5 linked regions of the Macaca fascicularis genome follow. The protein of the gene in region 1 purifies or fractionates together with the protein of each later gene. This does not show direct contact. Links are inferred from orthologs where the notes say so. Each region holds a gene or a part of one and is shown on either strand. Other genes may lie near its edges. The genes, in order: OTUD1, FLNC, KEAP1, AIFM1 and FLNA.

Region 1 (3,941 bases):
GGGTGGCTCCAGACATTTATGCCATTAGTTTATAAATCTCTTAGTTGGATCCAAGAAGTTAAAGCAGGAGGCTTATCTTGTCACAGAGTTTTATACCATGTTAACATTCTCTTTATAACAAAATAACAAATGTCAATAAAAACAATTGAGAGCACCAGACGATCTACTCTACATATCAACCAGGGTACAGAATAACCATTCTGCCATCAGCAAATATCAGACTTTCATTCAAGTAAGACCTGGTACTATCCCTTAAAACAGGAAAAAAAAGAAAAAAAACACCTTCCCACAACCTTCCATTAGGTAATTTTCTTTAAAAGATTCACCATTTCTAGAAAAATAATGATTTCCAAAACAACAGCTCTGTTTCATCAAAATGGAATGGGCCAAACATCTGGTAACAAGAATGTTTCAATATCCATTTGAAATAATTATCTAAGAATTGTGAAATTCAAATTTCAACAACATAAAATACCAAATCACAAACTCTGTTCAAAATAATACATTTCATATAAAGCACTTCTCTGGATTTATGCCTGAACACATCATAGATGAAGGTACACCAGTTTTTAAAAATGTTGTGCAAAAATACATTTTTATAGAAAATAGACTACCAGGAATGAACAAATTTACACTGTGAGAAATCAGCTTGCAAATTAAGTAGTGCTCACTTTATACAGCAAATTATAAATAGCAATAAAATCACCCAAAGCTATCATGAAACATTATTTAGGTGGCCCAGCAACCTTCAGCTCTGAGAAAACATTCAAAAAGATGATTAAGGCATTACACCTACAATAAAATCTACTAGCAAGTTTGAAAGTGCTATTACCCTGATTAGAGTTCATGTGATTCTCCAAACACAAGTTATGTATGCAATTATTCCCAGGGTGTAAGGTTTTGAGACATTTCAAGAGCATGCATTTTGTTCAATATACATTTTGGATAGGGATATGGCCATAGATTTGGCAAGTTCTTCGTCGCGTTTCCTTTGCACTTGAGTTTGTTTGCACCAGTTGTCGTACTCTGGGTTAGGATAGGAGTGATCAAATACAGCATCATAGTGTCCGTTACTGAGCCAACTGAGCCAAATACTAGGCCTCAGGGAATCCTCTGGGCCCAAATAATGAATCATAGTAGACACCGTGGGGCTCTCCAGCCTCCCTCCAGTAGTTAAGTGGATATTCACATTCAGCATCTGCCCCATGGCCAGCAATTCCGGGTACCCAGCCCATGCCCCGTCTTGGGCAGCAGCGATGATAAACTCCCCCACGTCGCCCTCAATCAGGGGGCTGAAGTGGTCGAGATGGTCGGCGATATAGTGCACCGTCTGCTCCCTCAGCTCCCGGTGCAGGCTCTGGTCCCCATACACCGTCTTGCTGACAGCTCGGTAGAGGCAGTTGCCGTCGGGAATGATGTGGAATCGGTACTTATTCCTCTGCCGCAAGTACTTGTCCTGCTTCTCCACCTCGGCCAGGTACAGGGCCAGCTTCTCGTCTCTGGGATCTGACCCGGAGACGATCACCGGCTCCGCCGCGCTGCTCGGGGCGGTCTCGATGCTCCGGGCTGGGGGTGCCTCGGCCTCTGGGTCGGGCCTCCGCGCCGCGTCCCCACCGGGAGCGTCGCAGCGGTCGCCGCCCCTCTCCCAGCCCCTAGGGCCCCTTTCCACCAAATGCTCTTCGCCCCACGGACCGGGGTCGGGGCTCCCCGGGGTCGGCGCGGGGCCTCGGTGCTTGGCGGCGGCCAAGGCCTGGCGGTGCTCGCTCAGTCGGAAGTTCCGATCGGGCCCCTCCCGTGTCGCGTCCAAGCCCGCGGACTCGGGGCAGTCGGGCCGCAGCAGCTCCTCCAGGAGCCAGGCCGAGGAGCCCCGCCGCGGCGGCACCGGGGCTGCGGGCGCTGGGGCCAGCAGGAGGCAGCGGCCGCGCGGGCCAGCGGCGGAGCCCGCGGTGCCGGGAGCGGGCTCGGGCCCGTGCAGCAGGAGCCTGTCGGCGCCCAGGGCCCGCACGGTGATCTGCGCGGTGGACGTGTAGTGCGGCGGCAGCGGCGGCTTGCAGGACGCGCCAGGCGGGCCGGCGGCGGCAGAGGCGGGCGCGGCGGCCCCGGACACCACCTCGAAGCAGGAGGAGAAGGCGGGCATCTTGGCGGCGGGGACAGCGGCGGCTTCACGGTGCTCGGCGGCCGCGGCGGGCTGGCACTCACCGGTCTCGGGCTCGGGCGCGGCGCCGGCGGCTCCCGGGGGCTGCAGCGAGACCTTGAAGGTGGGGGCGGCGGCGGCGGGTGGCGCGGGGGCGGCGGCCGTGGGACCCGGTGACCCGGAGGGGTAGTGGGTGCAGACGCTGCTGTAGAGCTGCATGTCCCTGCCCGCCGCTCTGCCCCTTATAGGCGCGGCGAGCCCCGGAGCGGGGGACACACCCTCCGGGCCCGGGGGAGGGGGCCGGCGGAGCGCGGTGACCCAACGGCCCCAGAATAGAGATGAGCGCAAGGCCGCTGGCCGCCGCGCGTCAGCAGCCGCGAATAGCGCCCGGGTCCCGGCCAAATTCCTGCTGCGCCACAGCGTGGGGGGGGCGGGGACGGGACGCGAGCTCGACTCCTGCCGGTGCGCTCAGCCCGCAGACCCGGGGCGTCGCGCCCGCTGCAGCTGCTCCGGCCTGCGGCGGCCGCTGGGGACTCACGGAGGAAGCCGCCCGCCTCGTTGGAGCGCGTCCTGCCGGCGAGGAGGAGCGCGGTGCGCGCGGAGGCCCGGGAGGCGGGGCCGCGGTTGTTTACCTCAGGCCTCGCGGCCGCGTCACGTGGACTCGCTGGAATGCGCGGCTTGTCTCGGCGCCCGATTCAGCCGCGTCGGCTCGCCCCGCCCACTCCGGCCCGCGCCCCGCCCCCTGCTCCGCTCCGCCGACGTCACGGGCGTGGCCCTCGTCGCGCGCGCGGGCGGGGCGAGGCCGGGGGCTCGGAGGCCTGAGCAGTCCGGGAATTCCTGGCTGGGCCTCCCGCCCACGTGACTCCCGCAGACCGCTTCCCCGACTTGGGCACGGGTTTCTGCGCTGCACCACTCTCCGCAGCGGCTGCAGTGGGTGCTGCGGGATGGGCGCTTCTTGGAGCGAGTTAGCATGCTCGGAAAGCTTGCTTGGCAGGAAAGCTTCTGGCATGGGTGTGGAGAACAGAATGCTGTTTGGCCTCTGCATGGTCATGGGCTACCATCCCTCCTTGCATCCACTACTGCCTCTTTTATCTTTTTAGAGATGAGGGTCTCACCTATCTCCAAAGCTGGAGTGTAGTGGCGCAGTCCATAGCTCACTGAAGCTTTGACCTCCCGGACTCAAGCGATCCGCCCACCTCAACCCAGGTGTGCACCACCGCCCCCGGCTAATTTTTTTTTTTTTTTTTAAGGCGAGGGTCTCACTATTACAGTTGCCCAGTCTGGTATCGAACTACTGGCCTCAAGTTGTTTCCCGCCTTGACCTCCCAAAGTGTTGGGATTACAGGCCCTAGCCACCAATCCTGGCACCACGAGTCTTTTCCTCTTTTTTTTTTTTTTTCTTTTCCTTTTTAAGGCAAGGTCTTGCTCTGCCTTCCAGGCTGACTGCAGTGGCGCCATCATGCCCCACTGCGACCTCCACCTCCGAGGTCCAAGCGATCCCCCTTCCTCAGCCTTGCCTTGGGCAGGGATTACAGGTGCCCAGCTAGTTTTACCACTGCGTCTTTTCTATGCACTTCCTTGGACCCACCTGTTAAGGGTGAGTCCTCTAGTGGATTCTCCTGCCCTGCGAAGACAAAACCAACTTTTCTGCACCTCTGACCTATGTCACTTGGCAAATACCTGCTTGGGCGAAAGCAAGGAAGCCTTTTAGCCCTTTATAAACAGCCTTTCTCAGAATACCAAATGCAGTATCACCTAGGGCCTTTTGAAAATAGATGCGATTGCTAGCCAGAGGTCAAAAGCGGTA
Region 2 (3,515 bases), on another chromosome or scaffold:
CAGGAGGCAGCGAAGGCATGGAGGATCCAGAACTGGTCCCGTGGGACTGGAGGAGGGAGACCCAGAGCTCCGACAGTCCAGTCGGGCGGGGGCATGGGAGGGGCAGAGCGCACCTGCTGGACAGCGGTGTACTTGACAGTGTAGGAATAGTCATGGTTGTCTATGATCTCAAAGTCCCGCACAGCCTCGCCCTTGGCTGTCCCTGCAAACTGCACATCCAACTTGGCCTTGCCGGCTCCCTTGGTCAGCACCGTGAAGTGGGTGGGCTTCCCAACTTCCACACCTGAGGAGCCACCCAGAGATGTGGTGAGGGCCTGGTAGCCACTTAACCCCAACCTCGAGCCAGGCCCAGCCCCTGCCCAGACACTCACCTGTGCGATTCAGCCCAGGGCCCTCGGCCTTGACTTTGCTGGCATCGTGGGATGGGTCCACCTTGATGTGGAAGGGGCTGGCGGGGATCTCCTGGATGTGGAGGAGGCTCAGTCAAGGCTCTCGAGGGGAACACACCCCTGCTGTTGGGCTAGATGTGGCTCAGGACACACCCAGGGGACCCAGCATAGACAGGGGCAGCCTCCAAAAGAGCCCCCTTTGCTTCCTCTGAGGCACCCTGCCTCACACAGGTAGCGCTCCACCATGTCTGTGGAATCATCCCTCCCTGTCCCGTGACAGCATCTCCAGCTGCCTTCTAGAGCTGGGAGGTACCAGGAGCTTGGGTACCTGGTTGGCAAACAGCACCATGATGGTGTAGCGGCCCGCCCCCGGTGGCGTGTACTTGACGGTGAAGGTGTCATTGTCATTCTTGATGATGTCGAAGTCGATGTCAGCCTCTGCAGGGCCCACCACGCCGGGGGCGCACTTGATGCCAATGCTCACGTCACCTGCAGAGAGGCGGGCACCGCTGTGAGTCAGGCTCAGCCCCCCAACCCGACTCACCCCTGCCCCCCTCCCAGACTCGCCCCTTCTGGCTGGGCGCACCTTGCCCTGCCTCGCTGCAGTCCACGGTGAAGTAGGTGGGCTCGTTGGCCTTGAGGCCTGTCTTCTCCACGCCGGGGCCGTACACTTTCACCCGCTCGGGGTGGCTGCCCTCGCCCACGTTCACCTGCAGGAGGGGTCACAGCTCAGCACGGAGACCTCCCTCAAGGCTCATCCTCCTGCCCAGCGCACCCAGCCTAGCCTCAGTGGCACCAGCCCAAGCCTCAGTCCCAGCCTGAGCCCAGGGACAACAGGGACTCTAGCGAGGCGCCCACCCTCCCTCAAGGACCTCTGGTGGTGGGCACGGGGCAGGCTGGGAGGACGCACCCGGAAGGGGCTCTTGGGCACGTTTACGCCTCCCCAGGAGATGATGATGGTGTGCTTAATGGGCTTGGTGGGCACGTAGGAGCAGCGGAAGGTGCCATCGCCGTTGGGGATCACCTTGATGTCGATGGGACAGCCGTCCGCGTCCTGTGGGCATCACCCAAGCAAAGTTCATAGCTGTGGCCTCTGCAGAGCGCCCTCTGCTGGCCACAGGTGAACCCAGCGCCTCCTTTCCCACTGCCAACGCGCAGGCACTCCCACCCCCACACCAGTCACTGAGGCCACCAGAGCCCAGGGCCACATGCTCTGGTGGCCAGAGCCCACCCTTGGAGCCTGGAGGCCTGGCTCAAGGCCATCTGTATGGCTTGCTCTCCCAGCCTAGGTTTCCTCAACTCTGAAATGTGTTGGACAGGAAGAGTGTGGACTAAATTTATGTTCCTAAAACTGAATCATGAGCCGTTCAAAGAAGAATCACCCTCTTAGATTCTCAAGACTATGTTCATTAACTTCTAGGGGTCAATGGACACCAGTCTGAGAAACCTTGTCTTATTCAATGAAACAATCTTTCAATTACAAATTAGCACAAAAATGACTCTTTGGTAAAATACATTTTTAGGTTATCATCATTAAGAAAACACAAAATTTGGCCCGCCGTGGTGGCTCACGCCTGTAATCCCAGCACTCTGGGAGGCCGAGGCAGGCAGATCATAAGGTCAGGAGATCGAGACCATCCTGGTCTCTACTAAAAAACACACAAAAAATTAGCCGGGCGTGGTGGCGGGCACCTGTAATCCCAGCTACTTGGGAGGCTGAGGCAGGAGAATGGCATGAACCCAGGGGGCGGAGCTTGCAGTGAGTGTTGTTCCTGGGCAACAGAGCAAGACTCCATCTCAAAAAAAAAAAAAGAAAAGAAAACACAAAATTTAAAATTTTCCATGGTACTGATGGGCCCATGAGTATCAGTCCTGCCTGATCTTCTGTGATGTTGTCATTTCCTGCCGGGAGGTCTCTGCCTCTGGCCTGGCCCTGCCTTCCAGGGTCCCTGCCATAGGTAGTAAGGGCAGCAGAGACTGGATAATGACCTACCTGGGCATAGAGCTTCAGGTCTCCCTTGCCAGCTGCACGGGCATCAATGGTGAACTCAGCGGGCTTGTCCACGATGCAGCCTGTAGGCTCCAGGCCAGGCCCAAAGGCCTTCACCTGTGTGGAGGGAAGAAGGCTGGGTTGGGGACGGGAGGAGAACCAGCTTGCCCCACCCCGGGGGCAGGTGTGTGGAATCTGGGACCATACCTTATCTGGGAAGCAGTCAGGTGGGGCGGGCAAGATGTGGGCAATGAAGGGTGAGTCTCGGATGTCCTCGTCGTCACAGATGACGTGCACAGCGTACTCCCCAGGCTCCGTAGGCCAGTACCGCACATCGCAGGAGCCATCCCCCTTGTCATCACATTCGATCTTGGCTTGTGAGGGCCCCTCGATGGAGAAGCCTGGGGCGAGGTCAGGGAGGGTCAGAGGGTCCAGCATCAGGCAAGACCCTCCCATCCCCCAGTTCCCCTCTGGCCGCCTCATGTCCCATCTCCCTGCTCACCCCAGCACTCCCCAGCATGCTCACTGCACCCATTACCCACAGTGCCCCCTGCTGCCCTCCCCCACAGCACTCCCTCCTCCTGCCCCTCAGCCACTTACCCAGTGTCCCCACCTCGGTGCCAATGGCTTCCACCACAAAGTCAGCTGACTTGCCCACCTGGCCAGTCTCCAAACCAGGACCCCAGGCCCGGACCTTTTGCACTCCTGCCTCTGGGCTCACCTGTACCTCAAAGGGGCTGAGCAGAGAGGGAGCTGGTGTCTACTCCAGGAAGTGACCCCCGAGGTCCCCCTCCATCTCCCCTCAAACTCCCCCGCAGCCCACTGCCCTTCATCCCTCCCTGTGATGTCCTAGACAGGACAGCATGGGGGGCGCAAGGTACTTACCTGCGAGGGATGGCATAGCCGCCCCACGTGATGGTCACCACATACTTCCCAGGCACTACCGGGTAGTACTCGCACTCGAACACACCGTCCCCAGCCTCCCGCACCTTCACTGGCTCCTCTGTGCCCTCTGAGGAGAGGGAGGCAAGGTGTGGGGATAGAAGGCAGATCAATAGCCTTGAAGTCCCAGCTCCTCAATCCCCTCAAGGAGCCATGGGGACCCCGACCCAGCCTGAGGGCAGTGCTCTAGTGAG
Region 3 (3,610 bases), on another chromosome or scaffold:
GGCCACTGCACTCCAGCCTGGGCGACAGAGCAAGGCTCCGTCTCAAAAAAAAAAAAAAAAAAAAAAAAAAAAAAAAAACAAAAACAAAATTAGCCAGATGTGGTGGCACACGCCTGTAATCCCAGCTACTCGGGAGGTTGAGGCAGGAGAATCACTTGAACCCAGGAGGCAGAGGTTGCTGTGAGCTGAGATCACGCTATTGCACTCCAGCCTGCGCAACACGAGCAAAACTCTGTCTCAAAATAAAAGGAAAAAAAAAAAAAATGAGCTTGGGGAGCCCTGGGAGATGTGACTAGGAATTAGCTCCTTGTCTTCCAAGGCAGCTGAAACTGAAGGACAGCTGTGTGGCTTGCCTATGGGGAGAAAGATGCCCTACATATCAAAATGCGATGGGCAAAGATTACAAAACGGTTTCAAATACCAGCCCTAAGTCAAAGAGGAATGTGTTTCAGGAGAAGAGCCCTTTCTGGCCCCGGGTTTCAGACCTCCAGCCCAGAGCCAGGGTGAAAGACACTAGTTAGTCTGTTCTTTATTTTCCTTGGAAAATTACAGGGTTACTTATCAACAAAATAACTGTCCATCCGGTGGGGAAGTGCCATCCGGTGGCTTCTATGTACAGGCCCATCCCTGGGAACCACATTTCCAGAGGGGGCCTCCGCCTGAGGCCCCCATTGGCCCCCTCCCAGGTATCCAAGAACAAATCACAAGGTGAGGGCTGCCGGCGTGGCTGGCTGGGTGGGTGGGACCCAGGGCCAGAGGGTTTGGGGGCCTCTCTCCTGGAAGCCTGCTCTTTCCACACCCCCTTTCCCAGCCAGGCTGTCTTGGACACTCCTGGGGCTCCGCTGAGAGGCACATGATTCCCGCTTTGGACTTCTTTTTGAGATGTCATTTTAACACTGAGGCATCGCGGCCTCCCTTCCCGGAAGATGGGTTATTTGCAGTGCTGTCTTTTTTCTTTTAATCCTGGTTTTTGTACAAAAACAATGATACTCCCCATTGGACTGTATTTTCGCCCAAGAAACAAAAGTGCCTCAACAGGTACAGTTCTGCTGGTCGATCTGCTTCCGGCAGGGCTCCATGGTGACAGCCACGCCCACTCCGCTCCGGCCCGATGTCATTCGGGTCACCTCGCTCCAGGTGTCTGTATCTGGGTCGTAACACTCCACACTGTCCAGGAACGTGTGACCATCATAGCCTCCTGCAGGAAGAACAGAAGGGACGGTCACCACCTGTCACACCACATCCAAGAGCAGGGGACAGAAAGAGGGAGAAGCAGCTGTGAGATGCAAAAGCAGGCCGGGCGCAGTGGCTCACGCCTATAATCCTAGCACTTTGCAGGGCTGAGGCGGGAGGATCGCTTGAGGCCAGGAGTTCGAGGACAGCCTGGGCAACATAGCAAAACTCTAGTCTCTTACTGAAGAAAAAAAAAAAAAAAAAAAAAAGGCCAGGCGCGGTAGCTTAGCCTGTAAATCTAGCACTTTGGGAGACTGAGGTGGGTGGATCACTTGAGTCCAGGAATTTGAGACCAGCCTGGGCAACATGGTGAAATCCCATCTCTACCAAAAAAAACATAAAAATTTAGCCAGGCGTGGTGGTGCGTGCCTGTAGTTCCAGCTACTAGGGAGGCTGAGACAGGAGAATCACTGGAACCTGGAAGGCAGAGGTTGCAGTGAGCCGAGATCACGCCATTGCATTCCAGCCTGGGCAACACAAGCAAAACTCTGTCTCAAAAAAATAAAATAAAAATAAATAAAAACAGCCGGGTGCTGTGGCTCACGCCTGTAATCCCAGCACTTTGGGAGGCCGAGGTGGGCAGATCACAAGGTCAGGAGATTGAGACCATCCTGGCTAACATGGTGAAACCCCATCTCTACTAAAAATACAAAAAAAAATAAAAATTAGCCGGGCGTGGTGGCAGGTGCCTATAATCCCAGCTACTCGGGAGGCTGAGCCAGGAGAATGGCATGAACCTGGGAGGTAGAGCTTGCAGTGAGCCGAGAGTGCGCCACTGCACTCCAGCCTGAGCGACAGAGCCAGACTCCGTTTCAAAAATAAATAAATACATAAATAACATTAAGCCGAGTGTGGTGGCTCACGCCTGTAATCCCAGCACTTTGGGAGGCTGATGTGGGCAGATCACCTGAGGTCAGGAGTTCAAGACCAGCCTGACCAGCATGGTGAAACCCCATCTCTACTAAAATATAAAAATTAGCAGGGCATAGTGGTGGGCACCTGTAATATCAGCTACATGGGAGGCTGAGGGGGGAGAATCGCTTGAAACCAGGAGGCGGAGGTTGCAGTGAGCTGAGATCGCGCCATTGCACTCCAGCCTGGCAACAGAGCGAGACTCCTGTCTCAAAAAAAGAAAAAGCCCCAGCGCGGTGGCTCACGCCTATAATCCCAGCACTTTGGAAGGCTGAAGTGGGTGGATCACGAGGTCAGGAGTTCGAGACCAGCCTGGCTAACATGGTGAAACCCCATCTCTACTAAAATACAAAAAATTAGCCAGGTGCGGTGGCACACACCTATAGTCCCAGCTACTCAGGAGGCTAAGACAGGAGAATTGCTTGCACCTCCAGGAGGCGGAGGTTGCAGTGAGCTGAGATCATGCCATTGCACCCCAGCCTGGGCAACATTGCGAGACTCCATCTCAAAAAAACAAACATTAGCCGGGTGTGGTGGTGCATGCGTGTGGTCCCTGCTACTTGGGAAGCTGAGGCAGGAGGATGGCTGGAGCCCAGGAGGTTGAGGCTCCAGCAAGCTGTGATCACACCACTGCACTCAGCCTGGGCGACAGAGCGAGACCCTGTTTCTAAGAAGAAAAAAAAAAAAAAGGAAAGCAAAAAAGCAAAAGCAGCCACAGTCCACAAGAGATGGGGCTAGTCGGGACTCTTCCCCACCCCCAGGGCCTCACCAAGGACGTAGATTCTCCCCTGGTGGACAGTGATCCCCAGGGCACTTCGCCGGTGCTTCATGGGGGCTACGAAAGTCCACGTCTCTGTTTCCACGTCATAACGCTCCACGCTGTTCAGCTGGTCCTGACCATCATAGCCCCCGGCAGCATAGATGCAGTTGTGCAGGACACAGACGCCTAAAGGGCACCGTGCAGAGAAGGTGACTCTGGAGGACTGGCTTTGGGAGCCCCAGCCATCACCTCCTTGAGGGAGACCTTTCCTCTCTCCTCTCCCTTCTCACCCTCAGAAATGAAGCATGGAGAGAGAGAAGCTTGGACTCTATCAGAATCCAGTGCTTCTGTGGTTATCTCAGGGTGAGGGTTGCAACAGGGGGTCTCTCCCAGGCCTGGCTCAGTTTCACCCCAGGATGGTGGGGGTGTTCCTGGATGCTCCCCTCACTACCGTCCCCACCCACCTGCCCCGCTTCGGATGGTGTTCATTGCTGTGATCATTCGCCACTCGTTCCTCTCTGGGTAGTAACGCTCAGCTGAATTAAGGCGGTTTGTCCCGTCAAAGCCCCCCACGGCATAAAGCAGACGATTGAGGACGGCCACGCCCACCCCGATCCTTCGTGTCAGCATTGGGGCCACCAAGTGCCACTCATCCCGCTCTGGCTCATACCTGCAAGGGCATAAGAAAAATGGGGACAATGGCCA
Region 4 (3,515 bases), on another chromosome or scaffold:
CGAGTATAGATCTAAAGTCTCTTATCTGTAATTCAGATATTGAAATTGAAATTTTAGAATGACCAAAATTTAAGACTATCAAGTTTTCATTTCTCATTTGCCAGTAAAACCTGACCTGAACTGGAGAGAGGCTACTTTATAATCTTTTTAAAATATCACTTAGCATGATTGGTCATATTAATATGTTTGACTATGAGTTGCTGCCCTTTACCTTGCTAGCTGTCACTATGTGGTATATGCCCCATATGCTTAAGACCAGATAATTCAAAGTTCCAAAATACACATGGTCCCCAGGATTTCAGATGAGAGACCACAGATCCACACTGGGCTTGTTTTACCCGTCTGTGGCCTAACATTATGAAAGCAAGGGGGAAATTCCTTCTCTAATCTCTGCAAGTATACATGGGATGCTACTACCAGTGTCCATTCTGTTTGTCTGTTAAAGCCTAGACAGGACAGGAACATATGTGTCAGCCTCTAGGCTAAGCTTGTCCAACCTGCAGCCCAACACAAATTTGTAAACTTTTTTAAAACATTATGAGATATTTTTGCGATTTTTTTTTTTTTTTTTTTTTTTTTTAGCTCATCAGCTATGGTTAGTGTTAGTATATTTTTTATGTGGCCCAGGACAGTTCTTCCTCCAATGTGACCCGGGGAAGCCAAAAGATAGGATGTACCTGCTCTAGATGGATGTTTCTCAATGTGTGGTCCCCATCCTAACAGCAACAGCAGCAACAGCAGCATCCCCTGGGAACTTGTTAGAAATGCACATTATTGAGCCCCATCCCAGATCTATTGAATCAGAACCTCTGGACCTGGGGCCTGGCCGGCTTTGTTTTATAAACCCTTCAGGGCATTCGGATACACTCTCAAGTTTGAGAACCACTGCTCTAGATTGGGGTCTGCCAACTACAGCCACAGGCCAAAGCCAGTCAGTCACCTGCTTTTGTGTGCCCCAGGAGCCATGAGCGGGTTTTGCTTTTTTTTATTTTTTTTTCCTTTTTTCTTTTTCTTTCTTTGAGACAGAGTTTCGCTCTTGTTGCCCAGGCTGGAGTACAATGGCGCAATCTCGGCTCACCGCAACCTCTGCCTCCTGGGTTCAAGCGATTCTCTTGCCTCAGCCTCCCGAGTCGCTGGGATTACAGGCATGCACCACTAGTGGCCTGTTTTTAGTATAAGCAGGGTTTCTCCATGTTAGTCAGGCTGGTCTCTAACTCCCGACCTCAGGTTATTCGCCTGCCTCGGCCTTCCAAAGTGCTGGGATTACAGGTGTGAGCCACCGCGCCTGACCTTTTTTCTTTTTTCTTTTCTTTTTTTTTTTTTTTTGAGACGAAGTCTCACTCTGTCGCCAGGCTGGAGTGCAGTGGCATGATCTCGGCTCACTGCAAGCTCCGCCTCCCGGGTTCACGCCATTCTTCTGCCTCAGCCTCCCGAGTAGCTGGGACTACACCTGCCCAGCTAATTTTTAAAGGGGTTTCACCATGTTGGCCAGGTTGGTCTTGATCTCTTGACCTTGTGATCTGCCCGCCTAGGCCTCCCAAAGTGCTGCGATTACAGGCATGAGCCCCTGGCCTACATTTTCTAAATGGCTGAAAAAAATTAAAGACAATTTCGTGACACATGAAAATTATATAAAATATAAACTTCAGTGTCCATAAAGTTTTATTGGAACATGGCCACATTCATTCATTTATGTATTGTCTTTGGCTGCTTTTATGCAGCATCAGCGGAATTGAGTAGTTGCAGCAGACACCAAATGGCCCAGAAAGCTGAAAATATTTACCATCTGGTTCTTTGCAGAAAAAAATTGCTGCTCTAGGTTGATAGTCAACAAACACGAGGAATAATCACAGAGAAGGTACACTGAGACCTTCCTTTATCTGAAAATGTCAGCATCTCCCTAGAAAAAGAAATCTACAGAACTCACATATTTCTATGTACGGGTGTTGTTATGATCATCACATCATTACATAGCTCTGCATAGTTTTACATCAAAATAACCTTTGTATTATTTTGGAGGAGTAAGAGCCAAGGAGTTGCTGGACACTTTAAATTTTGTCATTATAAAAAATATTTCATAGTCCAAAATTTTTTAGTTCTTTGGGGGAGAGAAACTCATTTAAAATTTTATTTTTCTGGTTTTCTTCTGAGCTTTAACATTTCTGTATTCCAGGACATATTACCTTTCATGCAAGATTGAACTGTGTCCTGGTTAGAGTGTGTTGCGTTTTATTTTGTGCAAGATTGGAGCCATTTAGATTACTCCTTAAATGGTTATTATAATGTCCCAGGTAGCCCATGGTTAACTTTGTATATCTACCTATTCAGTCATCTTTCTGTGTTTACTTCATTTATGGGAAAGACATGAAGGGAGAGGTATCTGATGAACTATTCATGTTTTTCATGATCTTTTCTGGAAGCTGAAGATTTCCTCACTGGGCAGCATTAAATTTTACTCTTAAAAACTTCAGCAACTTAAGAGTGTTCATTCAGCTGTCTGTAGTATTTATGTATGCAGTTTTTATGATGTTTTTCTTGATCATTTAATGGTGAATATCTGTGGGCAGTAAGTCTTGTACAGTGCACTGACGTTTAATCATAAATATGTATTAACTATTTTATTTTTGTATGTGTGTGTCTTAATAAATTATGTTTCTTAGGCAACTTGTTCCAGCGATGGCATGTTCCTCTAGAACTCCAGATGACAAGACAAATGGCTAGCTCTGGTGCATCAGGGGGCAAAATCGATAATTCTGTGTTAGTCCTTATTGTGGGCTTATCAACAGTAGGAGCTGGTGTCTATGTAAGTAGAAAAGCAGCGTGTGTAAAGAAGCTGCCAAACAGCTCCCATTAATAGACTCGATAGTACTCTGCTTTAAAACTTTTGCAACTAATTCCCCTTTCTCCTTTTGGAAAAAATTTCAAAAAGCTTTCTTTTAAGTGCCTGCTGCCTAATATCTTATGGGAGCCAATTCGGGAATGACTGAAATTTAATCTCATGTTGATTGATTTCTGCTCTTTTCACTTGTCTTTTTCCTCTTTACTTGAAAGCCACTGTGTTTTCCTAGATTCAAGTAACCCACAAAATTGTACCTGTTTTCTTGGATGTCACACACTAACCTGTGAATAAAGTCAAAATCCATTGCAGCTCCTTAGCACAATATTTGATTTTGACCTATTTGTCAGACATTTTATTTTTCCTCAGCTTGAGGTTCACATTAAAAAACAAAAAGCCTTCAATAAAAAATATTAAGTATTCCTAAAAGGAAAGCTATCCCTGAATCTCACCCAAAGACTAAATTACAGAAGCAGGGCTAGTATCACTGATTTTAGAATGGAGTTTGTTTGAGGTGAGAAATATGGTGTTTAATTGCTACGTAGTATTAGCACCATTATATCTCCTTAAATGAACTCCGATCAGCTTAGCAGGTCACAGAGGAATTATTCTGTGGGTGTTTTTTCCCTAACTTGGCAGGGTTTACTGTGACTAAGCTGATCAGTCTAAAGTTGGATCC
Region 5 (3,515 bases), on another chromosome or scaffold:
GCCAGGAGATGGGGCCCCGTCTTGGCTGCTTACAGAAGCGGTACCTTCCTTTTGTACTCTCAGCCTGCTTCCAACCAGCAGGGCAGGGCGGCCGGGCGGGGACAGGGCCTCACCTTGGTCAATTTCTGTGACATAGCACTCCTCCAGGGCTCCTGAGGGGCTGTGCACCTTGGCATCGATCGCCCCCTTGGCCCCATTCAGGCTGACTGCAAAAGAGGCTGGCTGGTTGACCTTTAGCCCTGACTCCTGGAAGCACAGCAGACATGGTTAGATGGGGGGCTTGGGCCAGGGCAAGGGCAAGGGAGAAAGGAAAGGCCCCAGGAGCAGGAGGCCCGCGGGTTGCACTTACCCATCTGGCGTCCAACTTGGTTTAAAGAGGGAGAGCCACTGATTTGCAAGGGGCAGGAAGCCACAGGCACACATCCCCACGCCTGCCCCCACACTCTGCCATCGCACACACCCAGGTGGCAGGAAGGGAGGGCGGCCCCACCCTGTGGGCAGCACCCAGCCTTGGCAGGCTGTCCCTCTTTAAACCACAGCCCTGGTGCTCAAGGGGCACAGGCTTCTGTTCAAAGCCTTTAGACCTGAGACACGAGAAAAACTCCACGTGGTGGGCAGGATATTTCCTGCCGACCCCAAGCGTGGGCTGCACCCGGCCAGAGCAGAGGCCTGGAACCCAGAGCTGGGCCAGGGGGTCACTGGACACAGGGCCGAGGCCTGCTCTCTGCGGTAGCTCTGGTCTGTCCGGGCCCAGGAGCCGCAGGTGGGCGGTTTCTCTCAGTGCCTCACCTGAAGGCTAGAAACAGTGAGGCGGCGGGCATCGCCAGACGGAGAAGCCACAGGCACCACGAAGGGGCTGTCGGGAATGTGTTCCTCGTTGAACTTGACTGAGACTTCGTAGTCACCTGGGCAGGGAAAGAGCGTAAGACCGGTTCATCAGCCTTTGGGCCTCCCGCCTCCCACGAACAGCCTGGGTGGCCCTGGGACCTGAAAGTGAAGAGTGAGTGCCACGCAGAGCCATTTGTGCAATCCCTGGGTCCAATACCCACACTCAGGCCCCACCTCCTCCAACCCCAGCCGGGTTCCCAGTACCTGGCTCCTGGACCACATAAGCCACACCACAGGAGCCGTCCTTGCGGTCCTCGAAAGAGATCTCAGCCTTGCTGGGGCCCTCGACAGCAATGGCCAGGCCTCCGGCACCAGCTTCCCGGGTCCAGATACTGAATTCGGCTGTGGGAGAACAGTGTGTCCTCACTGAAGGCTGCTCCACCAGCCTTGGCCCCCTCCAGGCATAGCCAAGGTAGACATGTCTGCCAGCTCCTTCCTCCACCCCCAACCCCACCCCGGCCAACGCAGGAGAGCGAGCGCTCAGCGTGTGAGCAGGCCTACCTGGCACTCCAGCTTCAGCCCTCTCCAGGCCAGGGCCCCCAGCTCGGACCTTGTGGGCTCCCCCTTCCCCTAGGGGCCCCACGGTGAACTGGAAGGGGCTCCCAGGCACGTGCTGGCCCTTGTACTTGACGCTGACTGTGTGTGTGCCCATCTCAGCAGGAACAAAGCGGATACAGTAGGTGTGGTTCTCCCCTTCCACGATCTCGGCCTCATGGCTCTTGCCCGATGGGCTGGTCACCTGGGCTGTCATATCCTGGATGCTAATTTCTGCAGGGTGGGGATGGGCTAGTGAGCAGCAGCCCTGGGCTCCACCCCTCCTCTTGGGGCTGCTTGAGCCCCAGGACCCCTCCCCAGGCTCCCCACAGCCCCTACCAGGGATCTTTAGGCTGAGATCACAATGACTGCCAACGTTGGCCACTGAAGGAGCCCGACGCCTGCGGGTGATGCTCTCTTTCACCCGGCCCTCGCCTGTCACTTTCACAGAGAAGGGGCTGCCTGCAGGAAGAAAGCACGGCCCACGCCCCTCCGGTCACATACCGCATGTGGGCCCTGGTGTAGTGACGGGGGCTGCCGAGGCACTGCTGCACTCACCAGGCACGTGCTGGTCGGCAAACTTGATGTTGATGATGTAGTTGCCAGGCTCTGTGGGGCAGTAGGTGACCCTGCACGTCCCGTCCTCCAGGTCCTCTGTGTTGATGTCCACCTTGCTGGGGCCCTCAATGGACAGGCTGAGCCCACCATAGCCTGGGGAATGGATACCCCTGAGCTTCGGTGCTATGCAGAGTGTTCCCACCCCAGCTGGTGGGCAGCCACTGCCTACCTGCATCTCGGGTATCAATGATAAACTCCGCAGGCTCAAAGGTGTGGCCTTCGTGAAGGCCCTGGCCAGAGACCCGAACGCGACTGGCATCCCCGATTTCCGACTGGCTGATCACCACCGGGATGGGGCTGCTGGCCACGTGCTGGCCGTTTTTCTTCACATGCACCAGGTGCTCCCCTGTCTCCTTGGGCACGAATGAAATCCCTGGACACAGGGCAGGGCTGTCAGTCAGGGAAGCCGTGGGTTCCCACAGACTGCTGCCTTTCTGAAACCCCTGGACTCTTCGGCCACTTACCCACGTGACCATTACGCAGCCGCTTCAGCAAACAGGGCTCCTCCCGGCCTGAGGGCGGGACCACAGTGGCCGTCAGCAGGCTGAGATCCGTCTCTGAGATGTTGATGGGGATGTCGGCAGCAGAGCCCACCTTTAGGTGGGACATACGCATGGAGTCGTCACCTGGTGGAGGCAGGCCAGCCATCACTGTGTGTCCAGCCATGGGAGACCATGCCCATCCTGCCACCCATTTGTCACTGCTCCCAGTGCCACCCACCTGTGACCCGGGCCGTGAAGGGGCTGCCTGGGATGTGCTGTTCATTGTACTTGACTAGGATGCTGTAGTCACCCGGCAACACAGGCAGGTAGGAGACGCTGCATGTCCCATCCTGGTTGTCAGTGCAGCTGATTTCTGCTTTGGACGGGCCCTCGATGGCCAGAGACAGGCCCCCTGGAGAGAGCCGTGGGTGAGCATGGGAACTATGCTGGGGACACTCCAGTTGGCCTACACTGAGGAGCCCCAATGGCCAGGGCAGCAGGGCAGGGAGCCCCATTCAGGAGTATCTCCTGAGTCCAGCCCTTAGCCCGGTGAGGGCATCCCGGGCACAGAGCAGGTCAAGACCGGAGCTATTGCTCACCCTCTCCTGCATCCTTGGTGTTGACGGTGAAAGTGGCAGGCTTGTTCACTACTCCGTGGGTGAGGCCAGGTCCATAGGCAGTGACATGGCCGCAGTTGACATAATCCACATAGAACTGCAAGGGGCTTCCTGAGGCAGGAAGAAGGGCCTTGTGGAATGGCAGCCTCATGTGTCCCCCAGTCCCATCTCTCTGTGAGGTGGTGGCAGTGGATTGGGCAGAGGCAGGGCAGGCCCACCTGGGATGTGCATGTTGTCATAGCGGATGTCCATCTCGTGCAGGCCAGCCTCACTGGGTGCATACCGTACGGTCACGGTGCCATCTTTGTTGTCAGTGATGGCAGGCTGTGCCACCTTGCCTGAGGGCATCCGAACCTCCCCTGTGGGGCAGGGGGCT

What was found.
Region 2: the proteins of OTUD1 (region 1) and FLNC purify together in Homo sapiens (affinity purification with mass spectrometry; 3 studies listed by BioGRID and IntAct, with this or other methods). This does not show direct contact. The link is inferred for Macaca fascicularis from reciprocal best matches to the Homo sapiens genes OTUD1 and FLNC.
Region 3: the proteins of OTUD1 (region 1) and KEAP1 purify together in Homo sapiens (affinity purification with western blotting; 3 studies listed by BioGRID, with this or other methods). This does not show direct contact. The link is inferred for Macaca fascicularis from reciprocal best matches to the Homo sapiens genes OTUD1 and KEAP1.
Region 4: the proteins of OTUD1 (region 1) and AIFM1 purify together in Homo sapiens (affinity purification with mass spectrometry; 3 studies listed by BioGRID, with this or other methods). This does not show direct contact. The link is inferred for Macaca fascicularis from reciprocal best matches to the Homo sapiens genes OTUD1 and AIFM1.
Region 5: the proteins of OTUD1 (region 1) and FLNA purify together in Homo sapiens (affinity purification with mass spectrometry; 3 studies listed by BioGRID and IntAct, with this or other methods). This does not show direct contact. The link is inferred for Macaca fascicularis from reciprocal best matches to the Homo sapiens genes OTUD1 and FLNA.

Annotation. Positions count from the first base shown.
Region 1 is NC_088383.1:24,239,118-24,243,058, reverse strand, and holds the start of OTUD1 (OTU domain-containing protein 1), read right to left. Parts: upstream 2,806-3,941; 5' UTR 2,354-2,805; coding exon 911-2,353; 3' UTR 1-910. UniProt on the Homo sapiens protein: Deubiquitinating enzyme that specifically hydrolyzes 'Lys-63'-linked polyubiquitin to monoubiquitin.
Region 2 is NC_088377.1:170,300,402-170,303,916, reverse strand, and holds part of FLNC (filamin-C), read right to left. Parts: intron 3,392-3,515; coding exon 3,265-3,391; intron 3,117-3,264; coding exon 2,980-3,116; intron 2,781-2,979; coding exon 2,587-2,780; intron 2,497-2,586; coding exon 2,383-2,496; intron 1,444-2,382; coding exon 1,300-1,443; intron 1,100-1,299; coding exon 976-1,099; intron 879-975; coding exon 718-878; intron 463-717; coding exon 372-462; intron 284-371; coding exon 114-283; intron 1-113.
Region 3 is NC_088393.1:11,048,196-11,051,805, forward strand, and holds the end of KEAP1 (kelch-like ECH-associated protein 1), read right to left. Parts: intron 3,576-3,610; coding exon 3,370-3,575; intron 3,092-3,369; coding exon 2,915-3,091; intron 1,199-2,914; coding exon 1,032-1,198; 3' UTR 505-1,031; downstream 1-504. UniProt on the Homo sapiens protein: Substrate-specific adapter of a BCR (BTB-CUL3-RBX1) E3 ubiquitin ligase complex that regulates the response to oxidative stress by targeting NFE2L2/NRF2 for ubiquitination.
Region 4 is NC_088395.1:136,424,772-136,428,286, reverse strand, and holds part of AIFM1 (apoptosis-inducing factor 1, mitochondrial), read left to right. Parts: intron 1-2,660; coding exon 2,661-2,803; intron 2,804-3,515. UniProt on the Homo sapiens protein: Functions both as NADH oxidoreductase and as regulator of apoptosis.
Region 5 is NC_088395.1:160,379,403-160,382,917, reverse strand, and holds part of FLNA (filamin-A), read right to left. Parts: intron 3,499-3,515; coding exon 3,358-3,498; intron 3,251-3,357; coding exon 3,122-3,250; intron 2,935-3,121; coding exon 2,761-2,934; intron 2,667-2,760; coding exon 2,505-2,666; intron 2,414-2,504; coding exon 2,210-2,413; intron 2,134-2,209; coding exon 1,981-2,133; intron 1,885-1,980; coding exon 1,762-1,884; intron 1,657-1,761; coding exon 1,390-1,656; intron 1,231-1,389; coding exon 1,093-1,230; intron 906-1,092; coding exon 790-905; intron 247-789; coding exon 114-246; intron 1-113. UniProt on the Homo sapiens protein: Promotes orthogonal branching of actin filaments and links actin filaments to membrane glycoproteins. Anchors various transmembrane proteins to the actin cytoskeleton and serves as a scaffold for a wide range of cytoplasmic signaling proteins.